2 linked regions of the Arabidopsis thaliana genome follow. The protein of the gene in region 1 purifies or fractionates together with the protein of each later gene. This does not show direct contact. Each region holds a gene or a part of one and is shown in the gene's direction. Other genes may lie near its edges. The genes, in order: AT1G24510 and PAF1.

What was found.
Region 2: the proteins of AT1G24510 (region 1) and PAF1 fractionate together in Arabidopsis thaliana (co-fractionation; one large-scale study listed by BioGRID). This does not show direct contact.

The regions. Positions count from the first base shown.
Region 1 is NC_003070.9:8,686,077-8,690,004, reverse strand, and holds the start of AT1G24510 (TCP-1/cpn60 chaperonin family protein), read left to right. Parts: upstream 1-1,758; 5' UTR 1,759-1,903; coding exon 1,904-2,102; exon of another isoform or gene 2,103-2,202; coding exon of another isoform or gene 2,203-2,242; exon of another isoform or gene 2,243-2,315; coding exon 2,316-2,634; intron 2,635-2,737; coding exon 2,738-3,086; intron 3,087-3,229; coding exon 3,230-3,362; intron 3,363-3,443; coding exon 3,444-3,496; intron 3,497-3,588; coding exon 3,589-3,691; intron 3,692-3,864; coding exon 3,865-3,928. Other genes in the region: BCP1 (homolog of Brassica campestris pollen protein 1), read right to left, coding at 947-1,306. UniProt on the Arabidopsis thaliana protein: Molecular chaperone; assists the folding of proteins upon ATP hydrolysis. Known to play a role, in vitro, in the folding of actin and tubulin.
Region 2 is NC_003076.8:17,159,275-17,163,202, reverse strand, and holds the start of PAF1 (proteasome alpha subunit F1), read left to right. Parts: upstream 1-2,046; 5' UTR 2,047-2,227; coding exon 2,228-2,578; intron 2,579-3,447; coding exon 3,448-3,928. Other genes in the region: LCR28 (low-molecular-weight cysteine-rich 28), read right to left, coding at 1-7.

The DNA.
Region 1 (3,928 bases):
CAATTTTTTTCTTTTCAAATAATAAATATCTGGACAGTCAGTGAATATGGAACTTTCTTTATCAAGTATGATATATGAATATGAGAATGATGCATTGATGCTTTGTATGGTTGGTTATTGATAGGAATACCCCAAATACGAAGTGGTATTTTGATAGATAAGACTAAAGAGATCCTAAAGAAAGAAAGAGATCGAAAAAGAAAAAGGAAAAAGAAAAAGAAAATAGGTATTATTAGTTGAGTTTAGGACCAAAAGTGCAACACACCAATACGAACCCGTATACACTACTACGCGTACGGCTCTTCCTTCACTCCTTGTATGGGTCCCTCGCTGAGCTTCTATAGTGGAAGCTCCCCAAACCCAACCATGAAATTGGCTCCTCATCACATTCACACCTTTAAAATTCCAATGTAATATATTTTCTTTCTCTGGAGACAAAACTTATTTTCAATCTAGTCTATTAGTTTGAGTTATTATTTGGAGTTTAAAAAATATGTCCTTTTCTTTTATTTGGTATTTCTATCCGAGAACACTTTGGCTGATTCTCTGGCAAAGGCTAGTCTTAAATCTTGTATCATCTCCTCTAGTGATAGAGAGTTTGAGTAATCTTAACGTCCCTAAATGCATAAATATATGCATTTTGATTAGGATATTTTTTTCTTGTTTTTTTTTTGTTTGCATTTTGATTAAGATTTATACACGATGGTTACAATTTTACTTAATTAATTATTATGGCTTTTGACCCCGAAATCGTATATTATTATATTCAATTCAGAATTTTGTATCTAAACACCGTTAGTGAAAAGTTTTTTTTTTCAGTATTATTACAAAGACAACGTTTCTCCTAACAAAGGAGAAACAAATTACAACAAGATCATCACAATCATCCTTACATATAAATAATCTTCGTTTAAAATAACCTTCTTATCATAAAACAATGCCCAACTTAGAGTAACAAGAAAGAACCAGCAATGGATGTAACACCAACGACGACCGCAGAGACGCCAAGAGCTGCCGCACCGCTTTTGGCAGAATCAGCAGAGCCTGTAGGCGCATTGTCGTACGAGGAGTCACTTCCTAGAGGACCAGCCACTGCAACGTCACCGTCACCAGGAGTAGGAGCTGCATCGTCATCGGTGGTTCCGATTTGGTCATCGGTGACTGGAGCCTCGACATGATCGGTTTTGGAGGCAGCTGGAGCTTTGGAGGGAGACGCTGAAGGAGATGGAGAGGAGGCAGCTGCGGCAAGGCCAATGATGGCCATGAAGACGAGGGCAACCACGACGACAATGTTTTGGCGACCCATTCTTCTCTCTCTCCTTCTTACGTAGAACTCGTTTAATTTATTTTAGGGTTTGAGGTTTATTGATTGTGATGATTTCCGAAGATGAGTTTGATATGTATATATAGTTGTGTTTTGTGATCAAGACCAAAAATAAAATAGAAAACGTTTGAACTAAGATGTAGGATTACCTTACAATCCAATGTAAATCTACTGGAGTACCTAAAAATGGACTTGTTCAGATATAGATTTTGATTGGTGAACATGCGAATGAATATGAAACCATTCGTTCAACTTCAAATCGTCGTATTAACGAGTGTCTTATTAAAGAACCAAATTATGATAGTATTGCCATGAACATTCTATTCATCTTATATCAGATGGGCTTTAAACCCATAAGCCCAAACGTCTTGTTAGGCCCATGAATCAATTCCGATTTACGATTCTGCCATCAACAGCGAGTTAGGGTTTTACACTCGACCACTTTAAGCTCTCAAATCTTCCAGACATTCTTCTTCTCGCTTTTTTCCCCATTTCAACTTTTTTTTTTCCTCTCCAGTGCACTAGGAAACAAAAAAAACCCAAGATCTATAGTTCGATCGGATCGAGAGAAGCTCGAAAATGGCGCTGGCGTTCGATGAGTTCGGGCGTCCGTTCATTATACTGAGAGAGCAAGATCAAAAGACTCGTCTTAGAGGAATCGATGCTCAGAAAGCCAATATCGCCGCTGGTAAAGCCGTGGCTCGGATCCTTCGATCCTCTCTTGGACCCAAAGGAATGGATAAGATGCTTCAAGGACCTGACGGAGACATCACCATCAGTTCGTTTCTTCCTTTTGATTTCTTCATATCTGCTTTTAAATTTCTAGTTTCGCTCTTGTTTACTTGGCATAGTGTTTACTATGTTGATGCCGTAGTTTGATGAATAGATCCATCTACTTTTTGAAAATCGATTCGCTATGTCTGTTAACTTAGCTCAGCTCTACTACTACTTGTATATTGTTTGTAACCTCGCCTTTGTTTTGCTTTTGCAGCAAACGATGGTGCTACGATATTGGAGCAAATGGATGTTGACAACCAGATTGCGAAACTAATGGTGGAACTGTCGCGGAGTCAGGATTATGAAATTGGTGATGGAACAACAGGTGTTGTTGTTATGGCTGGTGCACTTCTTGAGCAAGCTGAACGTCAGTTAGATAGAGGAATTCATCCCATTCGTATTGCTGAAGGATATGAGATGGCTTCTAGGGTGGCTGTTGAGCATTTGGAGCGTATTGCCCAAAAGTTTGAATTCGATGTTAATAATTATGAGCCTCTGGTTCAGACTTGCATGACTACTCTGTCCTCGAAGATGTAATGTTCCTTTTTGATATTCAGGCTACTTTTCAATAGTTGTTGCTTGTTTTTACTTGGTTTATAGTATACTGTCTTAACTCTTTCTTGCTCATTGTTACAGTGTGAATCGATGCAAGCGCAGCTTAGCTGAGATTGCTGTTAAAGCGGTTCTTGCTGTTGCTGATTTAGAGAGGAGGGATGTTAACTTAGATCTGATCAAAGTAGAGGGGAAAGTTGGGGGAAAGTTGGAGGACACTGAGCTTATTTATGGAATACTGATTGACAAAGATATGAGTCATCCGCAAATGCCAAAGCAGATTGAAGATGCCCACATTGCCATTTTGACTTGTCCCTTTGAGCCACCGAAGCCGAAGACTAAGCATAAGGTGGACATTGATACAGTGGAAAAGTTTGAGACATTGCGCAAGCAAGAGCAGCAATATTTCGATGAGATGGTACAAAAGTGCAAGGTAGGTTTTAATTTGTATTAATTTATATTGTCAGTTGGATGTTGAGTAAGCTACTGAAGAAATCCTTTTGACAATGGTCATTAGTACCACAATGCATTTTATGATATGATTTATGTATGACCCTTATGATTTTAACTTTGCAGGATGTTGGTGCTACGCTGGTTATTTGCCAATGGGGATTCGATGATGAGGCAAACCATCTATTGATGCACAGGAATTTGCCTGCTGTCAGATGGGTAGGGGGTGTTGAATTAGAACTTATCGCAATAGCCACAGGTAAGTAAAGTACTCTTAAGCATCTAATGCTAGTGTTTGTATCAGTTATGCAAAGCTGATCAGAAATTTTTCTTTTTGTAGGCGGTAGAATTGTTCCAAGATTCCAGGAGTTGACCCCAGAGAAGTTAGGGAAGGTATTTTTTTTACTTTCACTAGGTTTTGCTTGTAAAATGTTAATTAGATTTTAAACAGACCATTGAAACCCAACATTTCCTGATATATTTAGGCTGGCGTGGTTCGTGAGAAATCTTTTGGCACAACAAAAGAACGAATGCTGTATATTGAGCACTGTGCGAACTCAAAAGCTGTCACTGTTTTCATCCGTGGAGGTAATCGCCTTGTCTTTTGTACTTATTAGCACTTTAGCAGCACTGTTTTGACTTTTGAATAGCTGATGAGAGATAAACATCGATGTACTGAATCTAATGCCTTCTAAGTATATGGTGGACAACGATATTGTATAACTGATTGATCCAACGATTTGTTGCGGAATATGGTTTAGGTAACAAAATGATGATAGAAGAGACGAAACGTAGTATCCACGATGCTCTGTGTGTGGCTAGGAA
Region 2 (3,928 bases), on another chromosome or scaffold:
TAGTCATCTTTGATGATACAATTATAATAAAAGTAATGGATGTAATTGTATTGTGAACAAAGAACAATATATATAGATTAATTGAATGCATACATTTATATTTACAAAAATATCATTAATTATAAAAAAAAAATAGAAATAAATCAGTTAGTAATTAACTAATTAATGCTTGAATTTGTGTTTACCAAAAAAAGAGAGCAAAAAGATCAGTTAGTAATTAATTAGATGCTTTTTTTGTCATTAGATGCTTGAATCAGGAAAACTTACAAAATTGAAAACAAATCTAGAAAGTAATTATAAGTGAAAACATATAAAAACGTTATAAATCATAGTATATGCTAACTTTAACTAATCTATATAATAAATAAATTAAAATTTTGAAAACAAATCATCAAATATCAAATAAAGAATAATTCTTGGGTTCACTTCTAGGGGGTGAACCTAATTTATTCACCCCCTCTTTAATAACAAATCAATATTTGCCATGTTATTTGATTAAAAAAACTTAAAACAATTAATATTATCAAAATAAAATAATTAAAATAAATCATTAAAACCCCACTTTTTTGTAAATCCAAACCGATATATAATCTCGTTTAATTACCAAATCTAAGCCCTAATTCTCCTTTATAAACCCAAACCGCCATTTAGACTTATTTAATCGTTAAAAAACAAACCATAATCGTATTTTCTAAACCCAAACCGACATTTAACCTAGTTTAATTGTAAAATCTAAATATGTTTATAAGCCCAAACTAATATTTAACATCGTATAATCATAAAATCTAAACCCTAATCGTATTTTGTAAACCCAAACCGATATTTAACCTCGTTTAATCATAAAATCTAAACTCTCATTTTTTCTAATAAACTCAAACCGATACATAATTTTCTTTTAGTGGCAAATTAGATTTAATAGTTAAATTAATTTTTTATTATTATTACTAGTTTGTTAGTTGGGTTTAAAAGTTTCATCAAAGGAGATTTCATAATTGAATAAGGTAAGTGACGATTTTAAAATAGCTTGTTTTTAGAAGTTTTTCGTTCTAGGTTTGTTCTTATTGCATGTAGCTAGTTAGCGTCATGAACTAGTAACTGATCTTAGGGAGATAAAACCACAAAAGTGCTGAATTTATTTACTTGATCTAACATACATAGACTAGAAACTACGTTATAACAATACAAAAGCTTAGTTGTAGAGCTTTGTTTGTGGAGGTAAAGGAACTTGATCTCATTGGGTGATTGATTTTGTGGCTACAACAAAAATCTGAGTAGTTAAGTTTTTATCGATGCTACAAAATTCAATCCCCTAGTCATCTGTGATTCCAGTTTAAGGAACTTGAGCTAAACTGAATATGCTTTTGTTAATCTTCTTGTATGAGACAATATGAACTTTCGCGATATTCTTAAAGACTCAACGATTAATTATCATACAGTTGATAATAATAGTCGAAAATAACAATCGTTACCAATCCACTTCTATATTATGTATAAAATGATTAAAACTATATTATAAAACAAATAATAATTCAAATTTAAATAAATATTTAAAAATCAAAATTCTATTAGTGTTGTACAAGCACATGTTATGATCTACTTCATCACTATATTCGTCAAAACTAAAAATGTATGACTTTTCAGCTGTCATAAAAGTTTAGAAATATACAATAAATTAATTTTAAGATATCAATTTTAAAAATGATAAATGTTCTAAAATTTTAAATAGGATCAATCACAGAGACTTTTTTTTTGTAACAATTCAAATTATATGATTACTAATAACAAAATCGCAAAGTTTTATATTTATAAAATTAATTCATTTTTATTTAGTTTCAAATAATATACAAGAATATTCAAGCTAGTGTGCTCTGTTTTGTCTAATGTTTTTTTTTTTACTGAGAACTATTGACCAAACTCTTTTGTACATATTTAAAGATTCTTAAACAATTTCACATTTCATCAAAAAAAAAAAAAAGAATATACAAGGATTATCCTGTATAAAAACATAGGCCTAAAGTCTGTATAAAACATATGCCTAAAGTCTTAGCCCAATAAGCTAGATACCGAGCCAATACAAAGCCCAGAATTTAATAGAAGCCCATTAAATCGAGAGAGAGATCGAGAGCATCCATGGCTTGAAGGAAAAGAAAAGTTTTGTTTCTGAACTTTCGTCTCTATAAACCCTTTCGACGACGAGTGAAGAAGAAAGCGAGACGAAGAAGCAAAGATGTTCAGAAACCAATACGACACAGATGTTACGACATGGAGTCCAACAGGTCGTTTATTCCAAGTGGAATACGCCATGGAAGCAGTGAAGCAAGGATCTGCAGCAATTGGACTCAGATCTCGTTCTCATGTCGTTCTCGCTTGTGTTAACAAAGCTCAATCGGAGCTTTCTTCGCATCAGAGGAAGATCTTTAAAGTCGATGACCATATCGGTGTTGCAATCGCTGGTCTCACAGCCGACGGTCGTGTATTGTCTCGGTATATGAGATCGGAATCGATTAATCACTCTTTTACTTATGAGTCTCCTCTTCCTGTTGGTCGTCTCGTTGTTCATCTTGCTGATAAAGCTCAGGTTAGGCTTTTGTAGTTTGTTGATTGAGATTTGGTGGAATTTGGAATCGATTACGCTTGGTTTTGTGTGATTCGGTGATAAGTGTGTTGTAATTGTTAATTGAAATTTGAGGAATTTGGAATTCGATTACACTGTGAATCACTGAGCTCAAATTTAGCCATTAGCTTCTTGACTTTGTGCTTAGGGTTTGATCTGAGCTGATTAGGATTCTAAATTGCATTAAATAAGAGTTTTCTTAATTTATCATAGCAGAAACTTGAATCTTGTTTAGTGAAATTGTTTGCATGTTTGTTGTTACTGCTGCATAATCTTGTATTTAAAAGTTTAACCATAACTAAGAGCTTAACAATAGGATTCTAAAAGAAAGAGATTTGTGTTTCTTCTGGTGCTTTTGCTTGTTTCTGCAGTTTTTATTTGGAGTTATTGATTTTCAGTACCTCTAAGAAGTGAATTCCGCTCTTTGTTTTGCATCGTTCTCACCACTATGCACTTATCTTACCAGTCAATTACTCCTGCTAGGTGCTTGTTCGACATCTTTTCTGTAATTATGTGCTACTTCTCACTTTGTTTTTCCACCTATCTAATGGTTTCTTAAGTTAGCTGTTTTATCCACATCTGCATAAATACTTTTCAAAGCCATTGGGAAGAGCTCCCATATATTATATGTGTTTATAAAAGGAAGGGTCTTGTATTTCCTCATTGTCAAACTTTATTAGTTGGTTTACTCTTTTGTAGGAGAGATTTTACTTGACAGGTCCAACTTAAGTTACATTATTGTCATATTTCTTGTCTTTACCAAGGGTTTTTTTTGTTATATTTCTTGATCTGGAAAAGGAAATATTTATGTGTATGTTTGCCTTTATGAACAGGTCTGTACCCAACGATCATGGAAACGACCCTATGGTGTTGGTTTGCTGGTAGGTGGATTGGATGAGTCTGGAGCCCACCTTTACTACAACTGTCCCAGCGGAAACTACTTCGAGTACCAAGCTTTTGCTATTGGATCCCGTTCCCAAGCAGCAAAGACCTATCTGGAACGCAGGTTTGAGAGCTTTGGGGATTCTTCTAGAGAAGATCTGATCAAAGATGCTATTTTGGCTGTTAGGGAGACATTGCAAGGGGAAACACTGAAGAGTTCTCTCTGCACAGTCGCTATTCTAGGAGTCGATGAACCGTTCCACTTCCTGGACCAGGAAGCAATACAGAAAGTGATCGACACATTTGAGAAAGTGCCAGAGGAAGAGGAAGGAGAAGGCGAGGCTGGTGAGGGTGAGGCCGAAGCTGCCGAGGCTGCACCAGCAGAACGAGGTGGTGGTGTTGCAGGTGACCAAGACGTGGCTCCAATGGAAA